Lepisosteus oculatus: one gene and its partner. The protein of the gene in region 1 purifies or fractionates together with the protein of each later gene. This does not show direct contact. Links are inferred from orthologs where the notes say so. Each region holds a gene or a part of one and is shown in the gene's direction. Other genes may lie near its edges.

Evidence for each region.
Region 2: the proteins of katnip (region 1) and cilk1 purify together in Homo sapiens (affinity purification with mass spectrometry; 3 studies listed by BioGRID and IntAct, with this or other methods). This does not show direct contact. The link is inferred for Lepisosteus oculatus from reciprocal best matches to the Homo sapiens genes KATNIP and CILK1.

Annotation. Positions count from the first base shown.
Region 1 is NC_090714.1:16,330,484-16,345,614, reverse strand, and holds the start of katnip (katanin-interacting protein), read left to right. Parts: upstream 1-7,077; 5' UTR 7,078-7,733; coding exon 7,734-7,740; intron 7,741-7,759; exon of another isoform or gene 7,760-8,055; intron 8,056-8,229; coding exon 8,230-8,273; intron 8,274-9,490; coding exon 9,491-9,582; intron 9,583-10,063; coding exon 10,064-10,233; intron 10,234-10,452; coding exon 10,453-10,565; intron 10,566-11,450; coding exon 11,451-11,552; intron 11,553-12,012; coding exon 12,013-12,147; intron 12,148-12,736; coding exon 12,737-12,950; intron 12,951-13,144; coding exon 13,145-13,276; intron 13,277-14,068; coding exon 14,069-14,241; intron 14,242-14,540; coding exon 14,541-14,617; intron 14,618-14,976; coding exon 14,977-15,070; intron 15,071-15,131. Other genes in the region: dcun1d3 (DCN1-like protein 3), read left to right, coding at 2,960-3,446. UniProt on the Homo sapiens protein: May influence the stability of microtubules (MT), possibly through interaction with the MT-severing katanin complex.
Region 2 is NC_090712.1:19,307,041-19,322,664, reverse strand, and holds the start of cilk1 (serine/threonine-protein kinase ICK), read left to right. Parts: upstream 1-8,976; 5' UTR 8,977-9,157; intron 9,158-11,234; 5' UTR 11,235-11,396; coding exon 11,397-11,497; intron 11,498-13,028; coding exon 13,029-13,083; intron 13,084-13,478; exon of another isoform or gene 13,479-13,498; intron 13,499-14,298; coding exon 14,299-14,420; intron 14,421-14,969; coding exon 14,970-15,049; intron 15,050-15,313; coding exon 15,314-15,446; intron 15,447-15,624. Other genes in the region: fbxo9 (F-box only protein 9), read right to left, coding at 1-83, 580-675, 789-879, 1,691-1,809, 2,047-2,161, 2,627-2,757, 3,949-4,048, 4,539-4,596 and 3 more.

The DNA of each region.
Region 1 (15,131 bases):
AGTGTGGTTTGGCAGGCAGGGGGCTCTGATGTTGGCGCCTGTCAAGTACCCAAGGGCACGCAAAGCTGTGAATTGTAAAGCTTGTCCACTATTGAGGCTCTTACAGGTGTTTGGAACCAGACACAGAGGCCACAAGAGCACAGTGCAGACACAGTCATCCATACATCCCTGGCCTGCAGCTCACGAGAGCACAGGGCAGACACACTCATCCCTGGCCTGCAGCTCACAAGAGCACAGGGCAGACACGTTCATCCCTGGCCTGCAGCTCACAAGAGCACAGGGCAGACACGTTCATCCCTGGCCTGCAGTCACGAGAGCACAGGGCAGACACGTTCATCCCTGGCCTGCAGCTCACAAGAGCACAGGGCAGACACGTTCATCCCTGGTCTGCAGCTCACAAGAGCACAGGGCAGACACACTCATCCCTGGCCTGCAGCTCACAAGAGCACAGGGCAGACACGTTCATCCCTGGCCTGCAGCTCACAAGAGCACAGGGCAGACACGTTCATCCCTGGCCTGCAGCTCACAAGAGCACAGGGCAGACACGTTCATCCCTGGCCTGCAGCTCACAAGAGCACAGGGCAGACACGTTCATCCCTGGTCTGCAGCTCACAAGAGCACAGGGCAGACACGTTCATCCCTGGTCTGCAGCTCACAAGAGCACAGGGCAGACACGTTCATCCCTGGCCTGCAGCTCACAAGAGCACAGGGCAGACACGTTCATCCCTGGTCTGCAGCTCACAAGAGCACAGGGCAGACACGTTCATCCCTGGCCCGCAGCTCACAAGAGCACAGGGCAGACACGTTCATCCCTGGTCTGCAGCTCACAAGAGCACAGGGCAGACACGTTCATCCCTGGCCTGCAGCTCACAAGAGCACAGGGCAGACACGTTCATCCCTGGTCTGCAGCTCACAAGAGCACAGGGCAGACACGTTCATCCCTGGCCCGCAGCTCACAAGAGCACAGGGCAGACACGTTCATCCCTGGCCTGCAGCTCACGAGAGCACAGGGCAGACACGTTCATCCCTGGCCTGCAGCTCACAAGAGCACAGGGCAGACACGTTCATCCCTGGCCTGCAGCTCACAAGAGCACAGGGCAGACACGTTCATCCCTGGCCTGCAGCTCACAAGAGCACAGGGCAGACACGTTCATCCCTGGCCTGCAGCTCACAAGAGCACAGGGCAGACACACCCATCCCTGGCCTGCAGCTCACAAGAGCACATGGAAGACACACTCATCCCTGGCCTGCAGCTCACAAATATCAGCGCACGTGTGTTTGCGAAGGGCAGACAAGGACAGATGCCAGGGGTTTCTGTGAATAATGGTGGTGGTCAGATTCTGTGGTGCAGTGCCCATGCAGCACTTTTGAAGACGAGGCGGCGCAGCCTGTGGTTTTAACTCCCAGATGGCAACATTACTTTTCTGCCACTGAGGACAGAAACCTCATGTGCTTTGTCTTCTCCTAGTTTGGCCTGAAGCTACAGCTGAAAATATACTGTAGTTCATGCCCAGAGTGGGTTTCTTGTCAGCTTTTGTTGGTGACCTGTGCTTGGGGTCCTGCTTCTTACCACAGGTGCAGCACTCTGTTCTTAGCTCCGACACTTTACACAAAGAAGCCAGATCTTTTAGAGCAAGATCATGGTGCACCACAGCACCTGGGCAGAACGGCGCTATCACTGAGCCTGGCACCACTAATATATCGGATTTACAAATGAGCGGCGTTCACATCACAGATAATTTCTTCCTTCTGATGCTGTGCAAAGTAGGGGGGGGGTATCTGTGTTTTCTTGTAAGCCAGTCCTCTTCAGTAACGGCTCTGTGTAGCATTGTCTGCCTTGCAGATCCTCTGCCACATGAAACGGTACGGCACTCTTTGAATGTGCAGTGACTCTGATCCCCCAAGCCCCACCATCTGCTTGTGGAATCAATGGTATTTTAATTGCTCTGTGGTTCCTGCTTCGCTCTGATTAGAGCTTGCAGCCTGTGTCTCAGGGAGCCGTGATCAAGTCGCGGCTTTTACAACTCTGTGCCGTTCTGCCTCTGCCCTACTTAATCACCTCCTAACTTCAGGTAAAGAGCCGAAACTGGTCTGCGTCAGTCTCAGGGAGAAGACGCGTATTCAATACACAGGATGTGGCGAGATCTTTTTTTTTTTTTTACATGCATGTTCAGTGAAGGTGGTATTCATCCGCCTTGCGTCTCGGAATCTATCTATACATCTTGGAGAGGTTGTTGTGCTACACGGGTTTTGGGAAGGGTGTCGTCTTGTTTTCCTGTGCGAGAAACCTCAAGACGCGGTTTTAAAGGTCTCGGCGCGTGTGGCTGGCGCCGCTGTTACGGCACAGAACTGGATGAGAAATGTGAAGTTTGTTTTTCATGTTGGGTTTGCGATGTGGGGCGGTGGGAGTCTTGAATGAGCAGTGTCACCCGTGTGAGCGTGAATCTGTCACTCATCTGTCCAATCCCACAATCCCATGGAGCGGGCTTTGCCTCTTCAGTAGGCAGCATGCCTCTCCTTTACGGTACAAGTGTGCAAGTTCATTGTGTGTGCAGAGGTCAGGATGTCTAGGGAAACAAATGTGTTTTGTTTTTTTTTCCCTCATCGCCAACATGAAATCTGTTGTAGACGAATCTGGAGTATTTAAAAGCTTAGCAATCTCCCTTTCCCAGCCGCACTGAAAACACAGAATAAGTGGTCTGCGGATGGGTCACTCTACAGAGCCTTTGGAGAGAGTGGCTGTATATCTCCGGCAGGTCCGATTTGAGAAAGCACAGGCTTCCCGGCCCACTAGTGTCCTGCAGCTGTTGACGAGGGATTTGACCAGCCTCTGCAAGGTCACAGACATCTCGCGGGAATTTTCAGATGCTGCTAGGATGTCAAGTGCTTGATCCAGGAGTGCTGTGCGGCTTCTTAACGCAGTGTGTGTCTTTCTGCCCCTCTGTGCTCCCGACGGCAGGAAGGAGTTTGTGGAGGGCTGCAAGGCCATCAGGGCGGACAGCCTGGAGGGGATCCACGCGCGCTTCCCCTGCCTGCTGCGCGAGGCCCAGGCGGAGGAGCAGTTCAAGGACCTGTACCGCTTCACCTTCCAGTTCGGGCTGGACTCGGAGGAGGGCCAGCGGTCACTGCACCGCGACATCGCCATCGCGCTCTGGCGGCTGGTCTTCACCCAGAACACGCCCTGCATCCTGGAGCGCTGGCTGGACTTCCTGACGGAGAACCCGTCGGGCGTGAAGGGCATCTCCCGGGACACGTGGAACATGTTCCTCAACTTTACTCAGGTGATCGGGCCCGACCTCGGCAACTACAGCGAGGACGAGGCCTGGCCCAGCCTCTTCGACACCTTCGTGGAGTGGGAGATGGAGAGGAGGAGGAAGGAGGAGAGGAGGAGCGCAGCGGCGCTGGAGCAGCTGGACAGGGGGAGCGAGGGGGGGGGCGCCGACTGAGCCCGTCCGCCTGCAGGAGAGGGGAGAGGGGCCTAGTAAACTCTGGATCTCTGAAAACTCCGATGAAGATTAACGTTATTGTTCCTATTATTATTATTGTTGTTGTTGTTATTATTATTATTATTATTATTATTATTATTATTATGATTGTTTTTTTTTTCCTCTCTTTTATTTTCGAGGGACAGGGGTGGGGTTTTAATCTCTCCAGCACCTGCGTATGCCTTGTGTTTTTCGAAAGGGCTCCAAAAATACTGTATGGTTTTTTTCCCCCCAGGCACTTTTTTTAAAAAATTAATTTAATTTCTTTTTTTTAATGGGTTTGGTTTTAAAAAAAAAAAATCGGACACGCGCCGCCCCCAGCCCCCAATCCCCCCCCCCACCCCCACACTGGCTCCTCCGTCTCTCCCTCCCGGGTCACTCAGACCCCTCTCGCCGGCCCAGACTGACCAACGGACCGCCCAGCCTCCTGGCTCCCCTCCGCTCTCGCCCGTCCTGTTCCTCCTGTGTCCGTTCTGGAAAGGGTTTGGTATTCCGGTCACTACAGTGCCAGAGCTCGTGTGTTTTCGGGGGGGCGGGGGGGGGCAGTCCTGTACCTGGTGGTATAGTGCCGTTTACAACCCGCCACAGCGGCTCCCGTCTTCTGTTTTTTGGGTTTTGTTTCTTTTTTTTTTTAATATAAAAAAAAATGCAGTGGTTTATATTAAAAAAAAATAAAACAGTGTTAATCATTTAAAAGCCGTTCCTTGCATAATTAAAAACTGGACCCTGAAACGCCACCGGGCCTGTCCACGCCCCCCGTGTTTTTTTTAAACCTGCCGTGCTGTGAGCTGGGAAGGGGGGTCCCCAGACTTCCTGGCAAATCCCGGGGAGTGGGCTTCAGGCTGGGCACCGCCCTCGTGGCGGGACGGTTGTTCTAGGGATGCATGTCCCTTTTTTTGTCCGGATCGGGCCAAGCTGAGTGCTGGACCTTGTGCCGCGGGGTGGTGATATCTGGGCTCCTCTGAGCTTGTGGGGACCCAGTGTGAGGAAGTGGTTCACAAGGACAGCCCGGCCGCAGTGTGCTGGGGGTGAGCGGGTGTTCAGCAAGTGCGGAGGGGTGATGGCTGACTGCCTGTGTTTTCATGAGATGACTGTACTGTACACACAGTACCAGTACTCGTGCCCACTGTACGGACCGTGTGTGATCTTCATGGCCAGCTGGCCCTCTTCAGCACCTCCTGAACAGCCAGGAGAACCCAAGTGCACTGAGAGGATGGGCCCAGCCAGCACTGCTGCAAGTACACTTGGCCAGAGCTGTGTTGGTGCCCCGACTTCCCTGGCCTGCAGGGTGGCGGTACGGTCAGTGTGGGGGCGCCCCTTGCCAGCGGGGGGGAGCCCGTTGTCCTAGCTGCCTGCAGAGTGCGCCTGGACAGTCCGGGTGGGCAGCTTGGAGGGGTGGTCACTCTCCCCTGCACGTCCCTCACGTGTGGCCGCACAGGAAGAACCAGCGAAGGGGGCTGCGAACAGAGGCCCCTCGCTCCGTATGGTCCCCCGGGGAGCCTGCGTGTGTTCAGCGGTGCTCAGCTCCAGGGCCCCAGGGGAGCGCTCGGTGGGGAATTACCCAGCGCACAGCAGGAACGCCGCGGTGCTTCGGCACGTGACAACTGACAGACCGGAGGGCAGCAAGCCAACAGAAAAACACATCCGCACCGGAGAGGGATGGCCTATATATAGGGGGGCGGCTGTCAGAAGGCGAGTGCAGTTTGGTTTTAAATCATCTGGAGGCCAATGCCCATTTGCAGCAGTCATTAACAGCACAGTGTGCACTCCTGGAATGAGTGGCTGTGGCACTCTGGAGAGATCAGGGCAGGTGTGTGAGCCCCACACTTGTTTACTGCTGCGCCTGCCCATCTCCTGCGCTGCAGCTGTCTGGTGCCGGTTGAGCGGGCCGCGGGGACACACCTGCAGGAGGTTGTTTTTCTTCCTTCTGAGAAATGAAGGGGAACAAGCGCCGCGGTACACGTCACTGGCGCTAGTCCAGGTGAGCGCTCCAGTTCAGCACACCCGGTGACACCGTGTCCTTGCGTTTGGGTGGAAGAGTGTGAAAATGGCTGAACTGGGAGGTTAGGTCATGTTTGTTAGATGTCAAGTAATAAACCAAGGTTTAAATGAAGAGTTCTCCAATCCGCTTTGATAACCTGGATGGGTGTAACCTTGACTAACGGTTTGTTTCCATTTGCTCCTGCACAGCGCTGAAGAATCGGTACAGGTCCTCTCAGCAGCTTCATTAAACACCGAAGGAGGCTTCAGAGGCTCTACGGTACTTTCCCCTTGACTTGCACAGCGTTTGTAAGAGTGTATTTGCAGAAAAATAAATTAGCCAGTATCAAAAACTGAAATGCCATCAGTGTAGCCCAAGGAGGCTGGCTTTGGTGAAGGGCAGGGACACTAGCTGCTGAGGGACGAAGCACAGGAGAGGTGGGACCACCTTAAAGCCTCTTTATTCTGCTTTTGGATGTTATGTAACCCCACAAATTCTGTTTCCTGGTATCCCTAGATCATGCAAGACAAATTCCTGGATTATCGTGAGAGTAAATGGATTGGTATTTTGACAAACTGTAAGAGGATGTCAGTGCTGATACCCTCAGCTTCAACGCATGTTGTTTTGCACAAAATTGCCAACAAAAAAAGGCAACACAGATCTGTCAGTTTCACGTGTGCCATCATATGATAAGCCTTTAAAATAGGATCTAAAAACAGCTTCCACAGTTGTATAATTTTCATTAAGTCTCATGCTGTTAAATAACTTAAAAGTGCAGTAAAAATGCTTTCCAACAGTAAAATGACCAGAGCTGTCCACTTAAAGACATACAGTCTTAGTGGAAATTCTTTTTTTAGTACATGGTAATGTAATAAATCTATTTTGAGTTTTTTTTTATCTTGAGTATAAATATTCTAGAAATATCCGTTTTTCACAAGACTCACTGGAGGAGATTCTAGGATCAATCAACTATCTAGCAAGCAAATGAGCTAAATGCTCTGAATGGCCACCTGTTCTTGAGCTGTCTGGTCTGTTTTTCTGCAAGTAGGCTTGGTGTTCAACAGCCCCTGTTGTGCTGCGCAGTTGCCGATATTCGGGGGGGTCATCCTCTGGAGAAGAGATCTGATCGAGGGGAGCCCCCAATCCGGTTCCTCCTCCTCCTAGGGCACCTGATTTTAAAGATTCACCACACCTGTGGGTTATTGATGACTCAGGAAATCTAGTACTTGAGGATTAGTGAGTTCTTAGATTTTAGTATTGAATTATCTCTATTACAAATCACCTGTTTAATTGATCACTTTAGAATTGATAGATGTTTTTTCATCTCTTATCTTTCTTTAGTTCTTTTTATAATACTTCTTTTCCTCTTTTTTGTGTTTTTGTTTTTGCTCTGTAAAGCATCCCAAACTCTGCTTGGTATACATGGGCACTGGAATAAATCTGTGTCATTGTTCAAGGGAAATTGGAAATGGGTGATTTAACAGTGACCTACAAAACCTGCTGGTGTGGGGCTCCCCAGGACCAGTGTTGGCACCCCAGTGTTGTGGTTTACGCAGTAGAAGGATCTTGGATTTAAATTTTATGCCATTATAGGACATTAAACTTTCCAAGACCTTAATTGCTCAATTAACCCAGGAGCTGAGGACCACTTAAATAATTATGGATTATTAATGGCCAAGGGTCCAGGTGCCAAGTTGGACCATCACCTGTGACATGCCTATGGAAAACAGCTGAAGCAAAGGATAACTTCAAGAGTAACATGTCAACACACACTGTAACGGAAGTTAATGTACTGTCTGTACTGCCCTCTGGCGGCCAGTATTGAAACGGCAAGCAAAGTTTTGTTTTCTTAATTGGATTCTGCATGTTTCCAACATGCAGCTGGGAAGTGAAGATCCGAATTTGAACACATAACCTTCAAAAGTAATTAAGACAGAGCCCGATCCACCGTCGGCTCCAGATTTAAAATACTGCTGCTGATTTTTAATTCCCTGCCAGCGCACATGGCCTTATAATTTGCTGTAAAGGTGAAGTGTTGTGGGTCCCATCTCAGTGACGTCAGCCAGCGGTCTTCACCAAGGGGGCGTGGCGAATCCCGGGTCTCCCTGCAGACTCATTGGTCAGCGCGCCATTGCCAGGGGGCGGGGCGGAGTGGCGATTGGCTAGCGGCTCTCTTGGTTACCAGCATGACAACGCGGACGGGGCTGTGAACGCGTCCCCATTGAAAACACACTTGGAGTCTGTTATCACCTCGTCAAGGCGATGACATGGACTGTAAGTTTGATCTTTTACATTTGGACACGCCGATTTCTGCTCGATCTTTCTCGTTTCTGCGAGAAATGCGATCCGAGCACGAATGCAGACACCTGAGCGTGTGTGGTGTGTTTATAAGCTATGTGTAGCTAACGTTTTAAAGAAACAAAAACGCAGGTCAAAAACTGTATTTTAAAGTTCACTTCCGTCTTAATCGTCCACACGGCTCTATGTGTTAAAGTAGTTTGTTTCCTTAGACTACAGTTTTCGTTGTCGCTACACAGATTGGTGTAGGCCCTGGCTGTAGCCGCGGGGTGGAGTTGTCTTTCACTGCGGGTGAGGTGTCCGTCCGCCCGGGCGGGGCCGCAGAGGGAGAGGGCGGCAACACCGACGCCTTGCAGACCCGCAGATTGCGTTTTACATGTTGATTTTTTTTTCTTGTCTGGTCACTTACAGAGTCATGCGTTTAAAAATGTTTCTTTCTCTGTCTGATGTTTTAAACGAATCCAGGCAAATTCGACAGGGGCGGCGCCAGCCCGGCGGAGATGGAAGAGGTAATTTCTTGTGTGTTTTTTTTTGACAGCGAATACTTCAGCGTGAGTCGAGGTGGGCTTGCTCCACTCAAATAGCAGCGCTGTTAAAATAATGGGGGGTGGCGATGGGGGGGTCGATTATGCGACTACTGATGCTTATCGCTGCGCACGGGGTATTGATTTCAGTCGATCACAAATTATAGCTGGGGTCGCATCTCGTCGGAGAAGGGTATGGTGGCGTGGAATGACTGTCCTCCGACTGGACACTGGTCCAGCGAGCTAGGCCCAAGTATGGGCTCCAGGATGTACAGCCGGGGAGAGGGTGGTCTCTGCTGGTGACACACGCATGAATACTACGTGTCTGGCTGTCTTGTCATTTTTCTTGCTTGCTCTGTTTTCTGCTGCGTGCTATCTGATGTGCCTCTCTTCATGTTCCCTCTCCTCTCTCCTTCCCTGCTCCTCTGTCTTGCAGATGCTGTAGTTGCCTGTCAGGGATTGAGTAAGGGGGTCTCTCTTCTCCTGTTTGTCCTGTGTGATGTTCTGGTCCTTTCCTGGGCTGAGCTGGGCTAAGCTCCGAGGGGGGGAAATATTTGCCGTCTTTTTCATTTGTTTAGAAGGTCTTGCTTCACCCCATACGTGTGCTTTATACCCCACTAAGCAAAACGGTTGCTTCAGTGTAAATTTGAACACATTCTTCAACAGTTCCGTGGCATTAAATTGCACATTCTAGCCATTGAGCTCCTGCTCAGCGTCAGAGAGTATTGTCCCTTCTGCCAGGTGTAGCATTCCCCTTGTTTCTCATCTGTGAGGTCAGCAGTTCAGTCCTCTGCTGGTCGAGACTGCAGGGTGTTTGCATGACTCTCCTGGCGGTTGAAAGCAGTATCTTCCTGTCCTGCAGGTTTTCCACGTACAACAGTGAAGTCCGCATAAAATGCGTAAAACTGGCTGCTGGAATTTTTCCAAATACACCGCTTTTCAATATTCAAACACGCTCCAGCAGACTCAAATGGAGAGCAGTTTATCTGTTCTTTTCTGATTGTCAGTTTCTAAGAATATGCTTCTTGGAGAACTTTTGCATTTTACCCAGTACTTACGTTCCCTGCCATGCGCCGAGCTTGCCTGATTCCCCTGTTGTGTGTCCTGCGATGGCACGTTCTTGCTTTTGAAAATGTGTGTAGGAAAGGCCGAGCCATGCAGTAATCAGCACTGTTTTGCTTTCATTCGATGTGTTTGTGAAGAGCTGGCATGGAATCGAAGCGGGGAAGCACGCTGCCTCGGATATTGAAGAAAAACACGATGAATATTTAATCGCTCTTCAACACAGGAACAGGTGAGGCGTGACGGTTGTGCTGTGACTCTTTTGCCACCCAGTCTACTGTTACAGAGTCAGAGGGCGGCCGCTTGTCAAATACACCCCCAGCTGGCTGAGGTGACACCTCGGAGAGCCAGGCTCGCACACAAAATGTGGGGTGTCTGGGACAACCCCAGAAGAAAGCCGCCGTTGTCTACTCGAACAAATGTTTTCAACTTTACGGAATAACATTTCAGACATACTCATGAGACTTTATGTTCATTTTAAGATTTTGGAAAAACCTGAGCTGAAATCTCTCCTACAGTGCAGTGTAAAGCACACTGAGAATTCGTGCGGCAGCATGTGATTTCCCTTTGTGGGCCTGAATCTGTAGCGCTGGGTTGTCCCTTTCACCCGCCACTCCAGTCCAGCCGACTGCAGCCCTGTGGGGAAAGCAAGAGTCCCGTCTGTGACCAGCAGGTTTGCTCCTGCTCAGCAGTGCTGTGTTCCTGCCCGCCAGGATCCTGAAGCGCCTGAAGGCCAAGAACTCCAGGGAGATCGCGCTGGAGCGCTTGGAGCAGGGATTCTCCATTTATGTGAACGGCGCCAATTCCAGACCGACGGGGCAGCCGAAGAACCCGGCCCCCCCGCCCTGCACCCCGTCTGCCTCCAGAACGACACAAACGGCAGGTGAGCAGGGACGCCCACGTTTTCCTCTGCCCACTTGGGTTTTGTGCATTTCACTTTTATCATCTTCCTCAGTCATGCTCCGTGCTTTCAAAGCCTGGTATATGCCGCGCTTTTCCGATCGGCTGGGTCCGGGTGGGAGACCTTTCTCCGAAGGACACCTCTCCTGTACGGAGCCGGAAGAGCAAATCTGCAGCGGGTGCTTTGTCGTGGTTCCCCCAGATGCATCTCAGGGGCGTTTCCTCCTGGAGGACGACCTGCAGGATTCGGAAGTGACCCAGAGGCGGAGAAGCCAGACAGCTCCCGGGAAGGTCCAGAGGAAGGAATGGGTGCAGGTAGAGTATCCTGTCTGTGAAAAGGCTCGTATGGATACGTTGGATTAAGGTAGCACGGGCTCCTCTTGCTTGCCAGCCTGTCCCCTGTCCCGGGTGTATTCCTGCCTGCGCTGGTCCTGGGATAGGCTCCGGATTGCCCCAGCCTGTTCTTGGGATTAAGTGGCTTTCTGCCGACGGACGGGACTATTATTCCTTGAACCAGGTCCAGATGTCATTTTCCTATGGCTTGTTCCTGACTCGTGTGATGCCAAGGAATAAAGAACATTTGAATCTGAGACAGACGTCCCCTTGTATTCTTCTCTGCCTTTCTTCGTCTGTGAATTCAGAAGCCTGCGAGTGTGTTTAACGGTGAATCCAGTTAAGCGTAAAACCCTGTGTTTCGATGCACCATTCGTGTTTGTGCGCTGTCTTGTCGACATGCGTGCCGAGGTGTGATTTAGCATTCTTGATCATTCCACAGAATGACTTTGTTGGTGCGGAAAGACTGGTGTAATTTCAGCAGGAGAGTATCAACTTTACGTTTACAGTAAGCTCCTTCACAATAAGCCTTTGAGGAGCAAAGCAATGATCATTTTCAGCTGCTGACATGCTTCTGGGGGATAATTGCTTATCTGGCAGCTATTCATTACTGTGGCAGAGTAGGTGGAGCTGAAGGGAGCTCAATCAAATGTGTCCAGTGCTTTAGAAATTTCCAGGATACAATGTTTTCCCCGGCTTGTCTGTCATTGTTTGGCAACGCAGCCGAGTGTAAATTATCCTAATTGCATTGTCATGCTCGGAGAGAGGAGTCTCTTTGTCACTGCTGTCGGTCTCCACTGAATTGAGTTGTAGAGGGCGGGATTATCGGGCACGATGGGTTCTAAAAGCTGCTCGTTTCCCTCACAGAATTCCATCCACATTAAGACGGAGAAGGGATCCCGGATTCGGATCGGTCCTGGTCCCCGTTACTCTGATGATTTTGAGGCCTACGAGAGTGTGAACATGGAGGTACGGTCTGCCCTGTGAGGTCTGACATGTGAAGTGAGGCTTTATTGCACATCTGGGTATCTAAGACACAGTCCTGTAAGTTAGCCAGACCTTGGCTTTGGGCAGTAGTTAATAGAGGGACTGTCTCTGGATGCTGCATGACCCAGAGGTATGGGATGTCACTAAATGTTTACATGCAGTGCAGTGTCCTTTCCTCTCTGAATATTTTACAAAGTAATGAACGCTCCATTCTGCGCCAGGTGATGTATAGCATTTACATGAAAGGGGGAAGTAGACGGATGTATCTCCATACAGTACGTCTTCCTCCTCTGGCAATTGCAGTGTGTAAAGAAAATACAGGAGAGCACACTGGTGCTTCTTTGTGATCAGTTTGGTCATCTGCTTGGATTGCGTGATGGGACGCGTCTTGCGCTGTGTTTGGCGTGTAACCGGGTTTCCTCCTCCTCCTCCTCCTGTCCAGACGTCCGGTGCCCAGTCTCCACGGCGGGAGAGCTGGAACGTGCCCAGGGCCTTCAGCGCCAAGGCGGAGGCCCGGATGGGCAGGAGCGAGCCCGGATGCAGTGAGAAAGTCTTGCTCAACATCGATGAGGTCAAGGTCAGCACATCGCCTCCTGTGCCACTGGTGGATCCTACCTGTGACATTACTTTGAGCTCAGCTGTATTATCGGGGTTATCGCCGATGCCTCCAGTCTTTTCCTCAGGCTCGAGGAGTACCTTCTTGCTTGCTTCCACTGGATAGAGCTCTTCTGATTTTCTTAGCGTCTGTTCTCTTAGCTTTAGTAAATCACAGCGTGAAAAGCACACCAAATGTCTTTACGTCTTGCAGCTCATCAGCTCTGTGTATTACATGCCCGCCTGTATCAAGCCTCAGCGCCGCATTTCTTGATCCGGTGCCCAGCATGAAGGCCACTTAACACCTGCTCTACTTACAGTTCCCATTTGTCACAGATCTCATGTTGCAGAGCGAAGAGGCCATTCGGTCCATCCAGCCCATTTCGTTAGTAGCTAATTGATGCCAGGATCTCATCCAGCTATTTTATTGAAACTAACCAGGGTATCGGCTTCAACCACATGGCTGGGTAGCTTGTTCCACTCTCCCACCACCCTGTTTCGTCCTGTATCGGGCCAGGCCGGTTCAGGAGCGGGTTTGCTAAGTCTTGCCCCGTCGGTTCTGCGCCCCGCAGGTGCTGCGCCAGAGCCTGGAGGCGGGCGTGTGCGTGCGCCGGGGCAGCCGCGACTCGGCGGGGGAGGAGTCGGACGCCGGCGAGGAGGACTGGGTGGAGGAGCGGATCGAGGGGGAGGGGAGCTCGGCGCGGGTGGAGCAGGGGAGCGCGGCGGGGGGGAGCGTCCTGGAGCCCGGAGACCTCATAGTCCTCGACTTCGGGCCCTCGCCCTCAAGTACGTGTTCCAGGCCTGCGCCTTTGAGTCCGTGCTCCTCAAAATAGCATTGCACGGGAGGTGTTGTAAGGGCATGCTGCTGAAATCATGCTGCCCAGAGGACAGGCCAGGAGCTGACTTTGCCAGTCCCTTCCTGTCTAATTATGACACCCAATCCGTGTCTTTCAAGGGCAGCTTCCCCCTTGCCTTTGCAGGTACCAAAAAAGAGCGACTCCTGTCGGCGAAGAGGCGGGACAACATCGACGCGTACATCCCGACCAAGCCCCTGATGGTGAAGGGCAGAGCCTGCGACAGGCCTCCCCGCTCTCCGGCCCAGGATCCTGCGAGTAAGGGGCTCCTCCGCCTGGCTCTCTGTCAGAAGATCAGCTGTGTGTTCTCCCCAGGTGCTTGGGGAGCTCTCCTGTTAGTTTAGCACATGCAGAGCTACACACAGGGGAAGGACAGAGGCAGTGCGAGGCTGGGTGTGTTTGTTTTCTGTCCATTTCTGTGAGGTCGCATTGCACTTCCTGACGCGACCTGGTTTCTAAATGGATGCACGTGGGCCCCGGATCTCTCAGTATGTACTTACAGCTGCCCGAGTGGGGCTCCATTGTCTAATTTGTCTGCTTGTCTAATCGATTCTGAGAAGAGCGTTGAACAGTGCTTTGCAGTAGGTTAACGTTTCAGTGTGTCTGTAAGGTCAGTAATGCAGTTTTGCTGTAAGTGCTGATTTAGCTGTGGCTGTGCCTGCTTGCTTTCTTGACACCATATTTTTAATTAGCCGGGTTTGTCATTGTCTGAGATGCATAGTAACCACGGGGCGGGGGGGGGGATCATATTAAGAATAAATGGGTATTTTCTTTAAACATTACAGTCCTCTTTTTCAATTGTTCTTTCTCGTATTGTTGCTGTTGTCATGTCAACCCTGTTAAGCAATCAGAAAACGGGACTAAGTGTTTTACAGCAGAAGCATTACCTTCTGCAGGAAGTTATGCACAAGCTGCACAGGCCTCTTTGTATTAAACAAATTCATTTCAGCATCTTGCCAGTATTTTTCTTCTGTTTTACTGGTGCCCGACCACTTGCATTAGAAATCCCAGCGGGATGCAGGATCCGCTCTTGTTTTTTTGGAAACGCAGCGCCCCGGAGCCGCGCGGAGAGGCCCCTTTCGGCTGCCAGGAAGCTGGCAGCGGAGGCCCCGGACCCCGAGGAGACGGCGGGCGCGGTCCTGGAGGCCGTGCGGAGAGAGAACCGACCCCTGCGCGGGGAGGGGAGGCCCCAGCCCGGACAGGAGCTCCCCGAGCACAGACTGGTGAGACAGAAATTGGGAATTGGAGCGGTGTTTCCAGACAGGGCTGTTGGCAGGACCCTCAGGGGCTTGGCTGGTGAGAAAAGGGCCTGCTTGTTGGGGGAGTGCATGATTGTTGGGCACAATTCAGGGGTGTTCAGTTCAGCACGAGAGCCGAGCCAGGAAAGCCATTATTCTGTGGTGTCAAGGGAACAAGCGAGTGTCTGTGTCTCCTTTTACAGCCTTGCGTATGACCCTTTCATCCTGTCGTGATTAGTGCGCCGTTGCATCTCGCTGTCCTGTTTCCTGTTATTGCTGCTCAGGTGATGAATGGGCAGGAGGAGGATGCGGAGAGTGAGGTCACCAAGGCCATGAACAGGATCTGCCTCCTGGAGCCAAGGTATTGATTTATTGAGGCTGCGAGTTATTTCGTGCAAGACTCCACTCACACAGGGGTGAGCACCTATCAAAAGAAATAATTATCAGATGCATAGCAGGAGGGGTGCTGACAGAGGTCTTTTTCTGCTATGCCAACAGGTTTATTATACATTATAGTTATAGACATATAGTGTTTAGTTGTTGTAAATAGTGCCTGTTCAGTTAGAAATTGTCCTAATGTTGTGTTTTAGTTTAACATGTTCAGGATTTGATGTATTTCATGCAGCAACACTGTGTTACTCTTGCCAGATCGTTTCAGTTCTTCATCTTCTGGTGGAATGCTTAAAGGCTAGCGCTGTATATTGTGGTACTGCTTTTCAGCCAGCAGAAAAAGATTCTGAAAGCCCTGGAGAGGATTGAAGCTGATTCAGCAGTGGCTATCCAGCAGAAAGCAAAGTCCAGTGACAAACCAGAGGTAAGTGTTTGGCAATTCGATTTCGTGCTCCACAGTGATTCGAGGTGTATAGATCGAGGAT
Region 2 (15,624 bases), on another chromosome or scaffold:
TCTTGGAAACAACAGCAAAAACTTTGGTTTGATTGTCTGTGTCCTGGGACAGACGGTAATGACCGAGCAGGACAGATTCCATTCTGAAAAGAACAGAAGGACACTTAGTGTGCGGAAGGCCGGCAACACTTTTGCCACCGAAGAATCATCACACAAAGTATTTTCTAGATCGGGCAGGTGCGCTGCAGACGTAAGAGAAGTGGGATATGTTCTGAAACAAGTGAGTTATTAGTGTCTCTAATCCTCACTTATCAAACTCTTGTCAGGAAGTTCCCGTTTCCAGAAGAAATTTCAGAGAAACATGTCAAAGAAAAAAAGGCGTCTGCAGAATTTCATATATCCAGAATAACTTCAGGAACTCAATACTCAATACCCAGAACACCCAAAAACATGTTGAAGCAAAATAGGTAAACTAATAGTTTCAACACAAAATAAAGTTTACTTTTTATCCTGCTAGTCATTTAGAATACTTGTAGGATTAATACAAAGCTCTTCTCTTTAAATATATTTCCATACATTCAACACCTCAATTCTGCTAAAGCTAAAGCACCTAAAGCGCTGGTCTTAAATGCATTTTACCTGGTGTTTCTACTACGTAAACGAGGAACTATGCTGAGAGGATCCTCAGGTGTGGTGAGCATCATCACCTGTCCATCAGGGAAGAAGCGCAGGTACCTGTTCAGGAACAGTTACCAGCGTCAGGTCTTCCTCACAGTTTTAACCAGCTATGAAGACAGATGCAGTAAAGAAGAAGGTAACTCAGCTCTTTCACTCCTACACAAGCCTACCTGTAGTATTCCACCTGGTGCCAAGCCCTGTAGAATCCATCCAGGGATTCCTCTCCTTGGCGGATGTAAGTTGTTTTACTGATGTAGACACCTAGAAGGACACACGAAATTAAGGCCTTTGCATCTAGTTAGGTTTTGACCATCTATTATCAGAAAGTCATTTATTCAAAGCTACTTGTAGCCTATTGAAGAAGCACAGGATACGAGGTGATACTGATTCCCTGACCAGGCACTAGTCCAGCTGCTCTCAGTCCTGGTCCTGGTGAATTTCACTTACAGAATACAAACAAGTTTAAGAGCTCGGAGCAAACCACTCTTAAATCAACGAAGGGACTGACTGTGTAACTGAGGGCTCAGCTGGAATGAAAACCAGCAGGAGTGTGGGTCAACAGGACCAGGAATGGGAACCAATCACAGAACATGCACCGAAAGGACACCTAGATGAGCAAGCAATTCAGAGACCTTAGATAACTTTACTACAAGGTCTCTGGAAGATCTGAGGAAATGAGAGCACCCAAAGAAAATCCATAAGAAAATTGAAAGAACACGCAAACTCCACACAGTAGGTACCCCATTCCAATATCCAACCCAGGATCTGGGAGCTGTAGTTGTCATGCCATCCTGCCACTTGAGTTTTAACCAAGGAGATATCAACAGTGCCACAGACGCCTTTTCTTTTGCTCTGTGACATTTTGGCAAAGCTGCTGGGTTAATTCCTTGCTCCATCACCTTAACTTTCCTGTGTTCTACTTTGGTGAGGTATCTTAAGTGAATTATTGCACATTTGTTACATCATGTACACTCAGCCACTATAGGACAAAGAAAAATGGATTTTTGAAATATGATTGAATCAATCATCTGCTTTCAGATCCATGTTAAAATATGAACTCCCACTACATTACCATCAAACCGCACACGGGGCCTCTCCAAAAACATCTCTCTCCAGGAGTTAAATGGATTAGTTTTGGTGCAGTTCCGTCCCCAAACCCGAAAACAGGCTGAACGCCAGATTTCCGGGTCCCTGAAAAAGTACAGATTAAAAATATATTTTCTAAAGCGACCGGCATCTGTTACCATGAACACTAAAGCAGAAAACATCCGAGTGAGTGGCAAAGCATTTACTTTGCTTTCACTGTTCTTAAAGTGCACCAGATCCCCTCTATTTCCATCTTCCTATCCACACTGCTTGATAACACCTCTTATCACTGATTTTAGACATTGACGCAGAAGTGGTTGACAAGATTTGCAAAGCTTATACCTGGCACAAATGTAAAAGCCACGGCACACGAGCGCCAGCTGTTCGAGTGCCCTGAGGTCGAGGTCACTGGACACTACCCAGCGGAAAATGTACATCAGAACCTCCAACGGCAGAGCTGGTGACAGAACCAGTGGGATCATCAATCAACTGCACAGGACCACACAGCCTCCTAGTAACTTACACAAACACCAATTACATCAAAACACGTAAAACAAACACTTATCGTTTATTTTAAGGTGCTCCTTAAAAGTGCTCTAATCGTGTTTCATACATGTGTAACAGACTGTGAAAACATTCCACAGTACTGATAAAGTATTACAGTTATTAAAGTGTAGAAAAATGGGCATACTTTCATGCAGCTCTTGAGAAGCCTCCTTTACGTCATAGTATATTAAATATGCACAAAACGTCCATATTAATACACCATTATATTTACTTGAATTTCCATTCATAAATCAGTTTCTTTAATACTGTCTTTTCACTTTTCTGCTACATTGAACTGATTGACATGCAGTGCAGAATGGAAACAGAATTCCTAAGTTTTTGTGATCAGATACTCATGGAATAGGTGATGATTTACCTGAAATGTGCATCTGACTTATATCAGTTTCTGGCTGACAGATCTTCAGAGATGAATCCTGCAAAGTGAGCTGCTGCTGGAAATAGGTCAGCAGATCAGCTACCTCACCATCACTTTCATTCTCGTCCATGCTGCAAACCACAAAACAAATACGGAAATCATTGGGGAAAAAAAAGTTTTAGCTTCTGCTAAAAGAGAATGTTATTGATGTTATTTGGGATATATTTTGCAGTGTATTTTTCATGGCACTTGATAAAAATTGGATATTTAAAGGGTTAGTGCTAACCCAATTTTAACAGCAAGTGGTTAACCATTTTGTTCAGTTTGCCAATTTTAAGTAACTGGTTATTTTAAGGGGAACTGCAATGCTATTTTTATATTTCAGGGTTACAAAGAAACCACAATAAAATTAAAACGCACACAGTAACTTCTAAAACCTCCATGTTCTGCGACTCAGAAAGAGGCAACAAAACTTCCAGTGACATGATGCGGCCTTATTACATTGTAAACATGTGAATTCATCTCTTTTAATCCATTAAAAATATTGCTCTCGACTTAAAGACGTTTTTTTTCCGAAAAAAGGAACCTACTTGTTAACTCTGCATGCAGACCACATTGAACACTTCTGTGGTTAAATATCTGCTGCACAACCTGTACTTAAGTCGCTCGTACTTCGCATCACACTAGTCAGTACAGTGACTAGCGAGCAGGAAGGGCTGAGGTGCTTTGCAATTCGTGGGAACTCTCGCTCTCGCACGTGACGAGACCAGGGCTTTGTGACAACACGTAAACTTACAGTACTTTCACAAAGTTCATTGTGTTTAATTCAAAGTTTGTCATTTTTTTTAATAACGGCAATTAATTTATTTTGGTATCAAGATTTAATAACCAATTAAATATCAGACCGCAGTTCCCCTTTAAGTGATACCACCAGCACACTTCATCACTAGGTATTTTCTTACATCAGTACTGATCAATAGTTCCACCTTAACTGCATTTCTATAAAGGTAGAGACTACTCTTTATTTACAACATTTGTAACATTCAATATATTTGTCCCAGATCTTCATATAGTATGAATCTGTGTATCCTTCATATCCCACAGCCCAGCCATTAAAACATACTAAGTTTGACATCATTTTAAATACTAATGCTCCTAAAAACTTTTATAATGTAATGACAGTAGTATATTTCAGATAATTATTAGTTATGTTGATTTTTTAGCATTTGCAATGACAGAAACCATCAACGATTACAACTTTACAATTACTCCACCAGAGACAGCCTTTCAATATGCCTTTAATAACTGATAAATTCACATACTAGTTTACACCAACTCCATCGGGATCTGGAGACCGCGTGTAGTTGATTTTAAACTCAATGTCAGGCACAAGCTGCATTGCTCTTCGATAGTACTTGATAGCTGAAACCACAAGATTTTACACATGGTTAAATAACACCCATTTAACATGTTTAAACAATCTTGATTCTACAGATTTCACAAGTAATATGTGAGAAAATACAGGATATCAAATGTTGATGACCATGCTAAAGACCCTCAGACAGCTGTGTCTCTGACTGGTGTAACATTACTTGTGATGTCTGTCTCTCGGTAGCAAATCTCATTTAGAAAACTCCCATCCATCCACCACCAGAAAGCTGTTTTTTCTTGTCACAGTGTCACAGCAACCCCGAAGCCTGTCCCAGAAGCATAGGGCACAAAGCAGGCCTGCACCCTGGGCGGGAGGCTCCGGGAGAAAGCCTGTAACAGAGGGAGGACATGCAAACTCCACTCAAAAGGGGTCCCAATCCAGAAACAAACCCTGGGCCCAAGAGCTGTAAGGCAGCAGCACTTACTAAAGCACTAAATGCCACCGTGGTGCCCATTTAGAAAACTGCACTGCTTAACTCACCTTCATAAACAGCTCCATTCTGCTCCTCCTCTACTGCTTTCAGGAACAGTTCTCTGGCCTGAGAAAGGGCACATAATCAACATACATTATCACACACGTTATATTATGTACACGTTATTTGGTCACTGGTAAACAACTGCTTACCAGTGACCAAAGCAAAACTATTTGGTCCAGTAAGTGGACTGGGAACTTGCTGTACACTAGGCTGCCGATGTTATGCCAGCTTGCCGCTGCCTGAGGAGAAAGGGATTCATCTGCGAGACACAGTGAAAGGGATGGAAGGGCTGTCTGGTTCAGAGCGGTGATGGGGGACCGACGGGACCCACAGGACAGCCTGGTGGCGTCCTGGTGCGCACTCAGAAAACAGGGTGGGCGGGATCAGGATCATGCCAGTTGTGGACTGGGACAGGCACCGCTTAAGGCAGGCAGAGAAGTAAACTGCCTTTCCTACGCAAAACAGGAACTCTTAGTGCGATGAGCATCACCAGACCAACAGCTGCTCAATAGCAGAGCACCAGGAAAGTGGCAAGCTGAGGTTTAAATATCTGGTCGAGATGGCTGAGAGAGGGTGGACTCCAGCCCCTCGTGTAAATGGGATTGGTTCCTGGGGAAACCAAGGACAGGGAGGGCTGAATAACACCTGACCCGCCCGGGCATAACGGGCAAATAATAAAATCATATTATATATCACATAAAATAAATTCACGGCCCGCTGGACCATGCCAGCGGCTGGGTTAATGCTTCCTCAATCAGGAGCTCATACAGTACAGCATGCACACACACTTTTTCAGCAAGCCAAACCGCTTTGATTTGCTTTTACCTTTTCCTCTCGGGCCATCTCCTGTTTCCGTTTCAGATCCGCGGAGCGTGACAGCGGACCCCTGTTAGCACCACTGGAGCCGGCGGGAGGCATCAGCTCGGACATCCACTGTGCCCGGAAGGCGCTGAGCTCCACCTGCGGACACCAGACACCGGGGGGTCGACTTCTATACCACACCGTCACCCTTAGTGCCACCTGACCGGGCCACGCTCTGTGACGAGTCGCCGTCCACATTTCATTCCACATCCCTGTAAGTCAGTCTTCTTGACTTTTCTATCTGAGGTTCTAAGTATTTTTTACAGGTGACAACCCAAGAAGTACAAGCAGGTGCCTCGAGATCTCCAGAAGGACTCTGCAGTGCCATCCGTGTCCAACGCTCACCACGAAGTGGAAGCTCACACCGCAAACACCACATTCAAAAGCTCTACACGATGAGCTAGAAGTATATGTGAAATTCAAGAGTTGCTTTGGAGTAGTAGGTGAGTTATTTGATTCTTAATTGTGGAAAACTTGAGCTTTGCTCATTTGTTGGAAAATCCTGTGTCAGTTCAGGGCTATAAGACATCAAGCCTTGAAGCCAATATTAGATTTTGATCTGTCTCAAACACAACATTTCCAGCTTCATAGTGGAATTCCAAACGAATGTTGTTTAGTTCTATGTTTGGGATAATTTATTGAATATTTGCCTGTATTACAGACTGTACTGAAGCAAGATCAAAAAGACCCACAACAGCACCACTTTCTGAACCACTAATGAATCTTTCTTACACCAGTTCCTAATAAAGAATGCGTGCCCGAACACTGAGGAATTTCAAGAACCACATGACATAAAAAATGAGATGGTACTAACCTGAAGGTCAGAATCACCTGACTCTTCATTTTCTTCCACTTTTACAGTACCCGCAGAGTTGATTTCACCCTCTGCCTGTTGAAATGAAGACACGTGAGCTTGCAAACATGCAATGTGTTACAGGTATACATGTTAGTCTGGGCATCCCAGGGGGAGGATAGAGAATACACAGACCTCAGCTGAAGGTCCCTTGAGCCTCACAACAAGCCCTGCAGTATAACAGTCGGGCCTACTCTCCAGGTGGCTGTTTTAAAGGAGAAACAGCTTCCAAATCACATATTTGGTTGAACAAAGAGTATATATATTTTCATTGATTGCGACTGTACATGTATTTCCTAGAATATCACATCAATAATCCATATCTAACAGAGTACCAAGGTTTGTCAACAGCACAGAAAACAAACCTAATGCACGACCTGTTAATAAGACACTTGCAAATTAAATATACACCGATTTCACTGCTGATGGACTTTTTCTTGTTTTTTTTAAATGCAATGCAGCAATTAAGTAATTTTTGTTGTAATTACGTGCAAAGTTACTCATCTAATAGTCGAGTTTAAACGAACTATCCTTAAGAGACGTCTGACATAATAAGCACTTTCACTCTGATAAGCATCTTAACTGTTATAATAAAGTATATCTGCTTTCCCAGTTTCTACTTTGTACTGGTTTCGGTCGTATTTTAGTATTTATAATTGCTAGTAAATTAAGAAACAGTATTGTCAAATTCGAACAAGATATTTGTAGGTGCTCGCTTGTTTAAGCTTACTTTCCCCGCATTAAATGAGCGAGTTTGCTGAAACTCGAATCTGCAAGTTGTAAATAGTATTGATTGGAAAGCATGAAAACCGTTTACGTTTCACCTGTTTCAAAGTTTCAACGAATATATTCTGCTTCCTCATACTTTTGTAACAAGATTCAGTAGCGTAAACAGTAAGCAGACATGTCCGGCAGTTTATCAGTATCTGGTAGCTCAGATAAGGACGTTTATACTTGGACTTGCAAGTGGGAAACATGCAGACGTTAGATAATGTAGTTACACAAACAACTACTTTGTATAACTTCACTGTAAGTACGAACTCAATTCCGCATTCACTTCAAAACGAGACATATATGGCGTGGAAATAACCAACAACATTGGCAGAAGGCGCACCTTTGCAGAAACTGGCGTACGAGGCTGACCAGTGTTACTTTTTATAGTTACCCGAGATGTAAATAACACCAGGTGACTGACACACCGCCTAGGTACACGTCATGCAGAGCCACCAGTTGGTTTATGATTTACACTTGAGCCGCAGCAACGACCCCGGTTGTATTATTTACCATTGCGTGATATAGCCGTGAGCGTCTCCTGTCGGTCCCTTCCTCCTCTCTTTCAGCGGGCTCAGTCTAGTACAGTTCTCGGTCGGAGAAGCGGACGACGCAGCGGGCGAAATTGCGAGCTCTCCACATTGCAGCCATGTCGGACGGTCGCTGGCGGGGCTCGGCGCAGCTCCGCAGGGGAAGGGCGCCTCCGCGGAAGCGTACGGGACGGCGAGCCGGCGCGGACACGCAGAGCCGAGCGCGACGCGAAGCGGCCCGCAGCCCGCTCGACAGAGCGCCGGGGGACGCGTGGGGTCTGCGCGGTGCACAATGTGATCGCGTCTGGCGTAGTAAACCCTAAAACCCTGAAAAAAGAAAATGAATGTCTCTCTTCGCCTCTAGACGCTGTGAGAAAGCGATTAAAGAAGACCATATGTTAGGATATATAAAGGCAGAATTTAAATCAAGGAAAGTTATGTTAATACCTAATTTAGAATATTATATACCGTCTTGGACATGTATACAATTCGTTCAGGTGTGGTTCAGGTTTAGTTCAATGCTCACACCTGAAGAAGGCTCCACGGCCGAAACGTTGTGTTTTCTTTAATCTCTTTTCAGCATGGAATAAAACAATTACTTGTTCTTTCGCATTTATATATATACCACAAGTCATATAAGTGCTAAGAATCGGCTCAGAGAATAACCAGTGTGGACACCCGGGTGAGGCGAGCTCTTGAGAAGGGTCAAGACTGTGACTGTGCCCTGGGGAGGGTTCCTGTTTGCGCCCAAGACAGCTGGTCTGCTACTGCAGCCTGTGAGTTTACACACCCGTGGCTTTTATCACAGAGAAATAAAACAGATTGCAGGATGCCATGTTCCTGGTCCTGATGTGCTTGTGTTTGAAAGACGTCTGTGAGCGTCCTGTGTGGAGCCGTGGACATGTGTGAGTGTTGGTGACTGTGTGCCCTGCACTGACTGGGTGTACCCTGCTTTGCACAATTTACATGCCAGGTTAGGCTCCAGCTCCACGGTGACCTTGTATTCAATAAAGCTATTAAAAATGGATGGATGATTGCTTTATTTCTTTGACTGTTTTCAAGTTGTGCCCGTCCTTACTGCTGTACTCCAGACCCTTACGGTAATATTACCTGAATTCTCCTTTCCCTTCCCCCTTTTTATTCCTTACCGCAAAGCGCTGTGAGAGGCCACTTTCTAAGGGCGCTTTAAAAAATACGGTTTACTATAATTTCATATACTGTACGATCATGTTTATTAAAATACGAACATGAAGCTAACAATAAGGCTAGGGGTTTGGTTTTGTACCGGTCTGGAACAACAAAGGGTCCCTTAACGTTTTCCCCCCCGTGTGCATGTGCTTTTTTTTGGGGGGGGGGGCCGGTGTTCAGGGATATTTCGCCCCCCTTTATTTTTTTCCTTGGCAGAGAGGTTTGTGCCGGAGAAACGGCAGGGCTGATGGAGCAGGCGGACGGGCAGGCGGGCAGGCGGCGCTGCGGCTCCGCCCTCCGCCGCTGGGAGCCCGGGCGCCATGTTTGCTTGACGCCCGAAGACCAGGGGTTTGTCTGGGTGTGTTGGTGCTCACCGGCGTGTAAGCAGATGTCAGTGCGCTGCGTTGTTGAAACTCTGCAGGTAGGTGCTACTCGTTGCAAACGAAGGGGGCCTGCCCCGTTTCCGTTAGCGTTGGAGAAGGTCCAGTGATATAATGCAGGACTCGGTCCAGACACACAGAAGTGTGCAAACTTTGTCCCGATGCAATTTGGGGGGCGAAGGATAAATCAGGGCTCACCGATCTGATGATCAAACGCATGGCTCCGTGTGAGTCCAAACATAATAAGAAAAGAGATTTCGCTCTGTTTCCTGGAGTCGAAACAAAAGCTTTTTTTTTATACAGCAGATGTAATAATGGAAATAACGGGGATAAAAAAATCATTGCGTTGTGATATCTGTCCGCCTGTTGATAATCCCGCTGTTCTTTTCTTTCTTGTATTTTTGGCCTTTTCTGTTGATACCCTTGTTATATCTGTAAAGCAGGGGTGTGCGTTTCTGTTCCTCAACTCTGTTATCTGAAATGTTGGCATTTGCCAACAAGGAAATACAGTAGGTGCAGCCGAGTTAATGAGTTATTTTAAGACATGTTGGGGTTGTTTGTTTTTTACTGCAAGAACATCACTGGCTTGCTTTAAACGGAAAAGTCTGGAGAAGTGTTACTATACAGAATTCAACTACCCCTACACCAACTCGAGATTTGGGAAATTCGCCCGGACAGTTGTGGTGTCTTTGCAGATAATCACACCACGTACAGTGCCATGTTCAGTGTTCAGGGGCTACAGACCATTCTCATGGGCGAATACCGGTACAGTTTTATACGGATGCCAAGTGATAGATGGTTCAATACTGGGGAGTTGTAAATAATGAGCAGATGCAGAATGAAAATGGGAAGAAATGCAGCCCCCCCCCCCGTTCGTGGGCTACAGCTCAATAGCACGGTCAGTTTTTATTAGAGACCAGCCGTAAAGAGTATCCCTTCTATCGTTTTGCTCATTCGGACATCTTTTCCCATGCTAGTGTTAAACATGAATGAATGGTTCCGAGATATCTGAGGCTTACAGGCTGTTTCCAGCTGTGGTGCTGGCGTGCACTGTGACACTGTTAAAGAGAGATGTGGGACCCAGGGCTGTTCTATTACTGACCCCAGAAACCTCAGTATGTTGCCACTTTCCAGCTAGATTTAGTACAGAAGCTTGTTTCTGTATCTCTGTAGACTTTGCAATAAAGAGTAACCTGGATAGTATCAGTGTGTCCTACAGAGAATAGTGTGCAAATGTGTGTGCTGAAGACACTGTGAAAATATTGTCTCCGACAGAATCAAGCACTGAATATCATGCAACTGATTTTCCTGAATTGCTAATACATCTTTTTTCTAACTTGATTGTGAGGACACATTCTTCAGCATTAGCAAGGCGGGGAGAAGCAGTCTGTATTGTTCATTATGTTGCAGAAAATTCCTTAGGAGTAACATTAGCATTTTGCATTCCAGAAAACATTGCATTAAACAAGACATGATTTCCTGGGAGAAATACAAAAAAAGATCAACATTGCCTGTACTGGCGGAATCGGGGTATTTCTGTTATTGGTCTGATGGTTATCTTGGATATTTTCCTTGGGTTTAGTCATTGATCATGAAGGTGTTGAGCTGTAGTTTTGTTTGCTGATAAGTGTTAGAAATGCGTACTTGTACAGTTCTCTGTTAGGTCTGGTTTTATAACCAGATTTAAAAATAACATAATATATTCTAGATCGGAGCCTGAAAACATTTGGTATCGCTTCAAGGAGGCTCCAGAACCATCTGCTTGCCTTATCTCTGGGCTACCATCACTGAAACATGAGAGCGTGGTTTTAGTACTGTGAGAGAGTATGTAATAGTATGTTACATAGTAGTATAGAGTTTGTATGTAATAAATGAACCAGAGTATTACTTTAGACTTGATATTACAGTAACTTACTTGTTAGTCATTATTATTAAGCTTTGTAGCACTTGAGTATAAATGTGAACTGTCACCATTTGTGTCAGTTTGGAGGGTGTTTGTTAGAAATATTGAAATATATTGTGAAGATTTAACTGTACTTTTATTTAAGAGAATAAACCCCATTTTTGATCGTGCTTGTCAAGTCTTTTGTCCTGTCTGTGCCTGTTTCGTCTCTGCAGGTCCAGGACAGCCTGTGAAAATATGAGTTCTGCAGTCCTGTGTGCAGCCCGGCCTGTTGTCCACTGCTGTTGTCACAGAAAGATCTGGCTGCACTCAACAGGAGGGAGCCGAGCACCCTCCATGAAGCAGACCCCCGTCTCCTGGGCGATGCTGACAGAGCCATGAATAGATACGCGACCCTCAAGCAGCTGGGAGACGGGACCTATGGGTCCGTTCTTCTGGGAAGGAGTCTGGAGTCGGGAGAACTGGTTGCTATTAAAAAGTAAGCAAGCAAGGTTTCTATAAAGATTCTTTCCTCTCCCTGGAAATAGTGTCAACAGTAAAACGGGACATTTTAACCCAGTCACATTTTTATTGAAATGTCACCTCATTTAAAGGGCGTAATTGTGACTTTAAAGGGTTTGCTATTTTTGCTTCACTCATACCCTTTCTGCAAACAGCTGTTCTGTATTTTATTTTTTCATAACGCTGGCAAGTGCTGATTTTATCTGGCAGTAAGTGAAGTGAGTGCCCTGCCCTGATTTAATTGATGTTTCCTGAGCTGGTAAAATGTTTTTGACGAAGGCAAGTTCAGTGTTTTGAAGATCCTATATACTGTATATAAGTCTTTGTTGAGGGCCGTTGCACTCATCCAGTGCTCAGTGGTCTATTACAGTGTGTAATATACTGAGATTAAGCTGTTGTTCCCTCATAGACTGCTACATCTTAATCAGGATGAGTCCGGAAGAGGAACAAGTATGACAGATAAAGTATTTATACAGAAAACAGAATTTAAATAAGAATTGAGCATGAAGGAAATAATACAAAAAAAATACTTATTGGAATGTGACCCCTTTAATTTTGCCCTTGTTGTAGATGAGCCTTGAGGGGTGGATGCTTCATGCAAAATAATAAATGTGAAGTTTGGGATAAAATGAGTGTCACCACATTTCCAGTGAAATTTTGAAATGGAGCCCCCCCTTACCTGAATCACCTGACTGCATTCTGCACCCGTCTCTGGGCAATAGGTCTGGATAAATCATCGCTGTCCACTCAGGAGCGTGTGTCTGAGCTAACAGCTGGGAGTACAGGACTGGCTAAATGGGTTTTGCAGCAACTACAGAGCCACTGTATTTGCATTCAGATTAGAATAGGGCATCAGCTCTTTCAGAATTTGAATTGGTCAGATACCACAAATGTCATATAAAGGGAGAAATCATTTTTAACTGTGCAAGGCTGACAGACGTTTATCACAAAGTGAGCCTCGTATTACAAGCCTTTGTCTTAAAGAATACGGGGGGCCTTCAGGTTACATATCCAACATGTTGCATGATGTTTATTGCCATTTTGGCCTTTCATGAATAGGTTCTTGTGATCACATGATTTACATACGAGGTCTGTCTTAGATTTAGAAGCAGCTCCGTATCTGGGCTGATGTGTTCCAGTGTTTGTTCTCACCCATGCGTGTAACATGCACACTTGTAAAAGTTCTAAAATCTTTGCATGAAAACCTGTCCTAGGCAGTTTAGGAATAAAATAATCAAAAGGTGTGAAAGGAATAATTGATTTAATAGTTAAGCAAGTTTACCGTTTGTAATCTGTTCTGAGCTCATAGTTTGTAACTACATTTCCTGCTGTTGCTCAGAGTGCATTTTGTAAATTCAGTACCTTTCGCAGTAAACATCTTCTTTTTAGTTATTGAAGTTTGCAGAATGTATGTGTACAGGGAGTGAAAGTATATTCTTCCAAAGACCATGCATACAGGTGTGATGTTTTTCATGCTGTCATTATGTCAACTTTAATCTGTCCCCTAGAATGAAAAGGAAGTTCTATTCCTGGGAAGAATGCATGAACCTGCGAGAGGTTAAGGTAACGTGTCAGCCTTCTTTTTTCTCGTCTCAATAAAATGTCCTCGTTGCAAGCAAGGTTGAATACTTCTGCTGGGAGAACTGTAAATTGTGAGAACGGTCCATTCTGGCACAAAGCAGTGTGTAAATGTCTGAGTGATCCACAACATGAATGTTCCAGTGGTGGTGAAAGTGTTAGGTAAAATTCAGAAAGTGAAATTCTTCATTCTTTGTTGTAATAGGTCCGTTATCAGATTTTGTTGAACTTAAAAACATTGGCACTAAACATATGGCAGCTAAGGCACAGTGTTAAGTGGGGAAAAAACCAGATACTAGGTCATAAATGTAGAATGTCTAATGTATGTGCTTTTTTTCTTTCAATTCTGAATGCTCCATTTAAATGTCACCACATCCCAGAAACCAGCACAGAGAATACGGTAGATATCTGATGTGAACCCTTAGCTCTACTTGTCTTGCTGGGTCCTCTTTTCCCACGGGGTGAATCTACTCCGTAGACGGTGCCCCCCCCTTTGAGTCCTGCTGCGGTGGGGGGCGTGGGGGGGGGTTTAGGGATGCCTGTTCAGTGGGAGCTGCTGCAGTGCAGTTGGGTGTTTCCTACCCAGCATGCCTTCCTGTCTCCTCATCTCTCTGCAGCCCGTGTGACTTCACCTCCCCGTGTCATGGCATGTCTGCGATAAAGCTCATCAGCGCTCGGGTGCATGGGAAATCCTCCTGATCGCGGAGCCACTTGGCGTACCTTCTTCCTGTCAAACCCCCCCCCCCCCCCCATCTTTCAGTTCTGCATGGTTGCATTTTTAATTTTGTAAGACGTTGGCATTCCGTTGGCTCGGTTCGGAAATAAATTGCAAGTTCGAGTGAGCAGTCAGAACGTGACAAAGAGCTGTATTCATAGGCATGTGATTGTGAACCTCCCACCCTCCCCTCCCCCCAGTGCATAACCCCTGTGCTGTGGCGACTTGTGAAGGGGTCCAACAGTGTGCCTGTGTGTTGACGTCGGCTCCGTAGGCAGTAATGTTCTGGTACGAATCAAGATGTTCCAGAAGATCTTCTGCGTGCCTAGTTTTGTTTATTATTGTGGTCAAAAAGCAACGCACACCTAGTTCAGGTTTAGTACTAATGGTTCATCCAAGTGCCATATTATTTGTAAATTTAACCTTACATTTTATGCAGCCCATGTAAACCTGAAACTAAAAAGGCTTTTATATTTTCTCTGTAGTCCCTGAAGAAACTGAATCATGCTAATGTAGTCAAACTGAAGGAAGTCATCAGAGAAAATGACCAACTCTACTTTGTGTTTGAGTATATGAAGGAAAACCTTTACCAGTTGATGAAAGACAGGTATTTTGATCAAGATTTTCCTTTACTGTCCCTTGATGTCCTGAACGTAAAAATTGTTTTTACTGTATTTATATTGTATTTTTGTATTTATTTAGCTTTTGATGAGTATAACGTTTTTTCAACTAATAGATATTTTGATGTCACTATAGTCAATATAATATAAATCACAAATTTAATCCAGCGATTGTATTGAATGTAGAATTGTTAGCACAAAGAATGCGTTAAGCCTTTGGACATATCCCTGTTTCCGCATTTTCAAGTAAGGATATAATTTTATTAATTATAATAAATATAGTTTACATACTGCAGAGGAACAAGTAAGAGGTTTATTCCTGCTGAAAAGAGAAGAAAGAAAACACAACTTAAGGCTCCAAAGCCGAAACGTTGTGTTTTCTCTCTTCTCTTTTCAGCAGGAATAAACCTTTACTTGTTCCTCTGCAGCCTGTGCATGCTGACGCAACTCCCCACCTACTCTAGTTTACATACTGTACGGTATAAGCAGTCAGATAAATTATAAATAAACTCTATCTTTATTTTTTGCATTTATAGGAGTAGATTGTTCCCTGAATCTGCTGTGAGAAATATAATGTACCAGATACTACAAGGATTGGCATTTATTCATAAACATGGTATGGTTCACTGCACGCTTGAAAACATAACTGTTTGTATACTTGGGTTGGCATGTAACTCTTAAATAAAGAAGCTGAATGATAATTAATTGGAATGTGATAACAAAAACTGTCCTCTTCATTGCAGTTGAATGTATCGCTGTGAAATTATTTCCAGAATGGTTTAGGCCTTCATTAACTATAATTAAGTATTGATATAATAATGTTTGCCAGTGCTTTGTTCTCCCACTGATTAGTTCCATTTTACCATTGTGTTCATCCTAGGGTTTTTCCACAGGGATATGAAACCCGAAAATCTTCTTTGCATGGGACCAGAACTTGTTAAAATAGCAGACTTTGGCCTAGCGCGGGAAATAAGATCTCGACCTCCATACACTGACTACGTCTCTACAAGATGGTACGTTTTTGTTGCCGACTGGTTACCTGTGCCTCTGCGTGGGTCAAGACAGGCCTGTGACAAATTCTAAATGTGTGTTTGGAAGAAGGATCACCGTAGTACTACTGAGTGGAAAGGGCATTGTGTCGTGGAATTACCTCTGTACTTAAGAGCAAGTTTTACAGCAAGACTATGAATG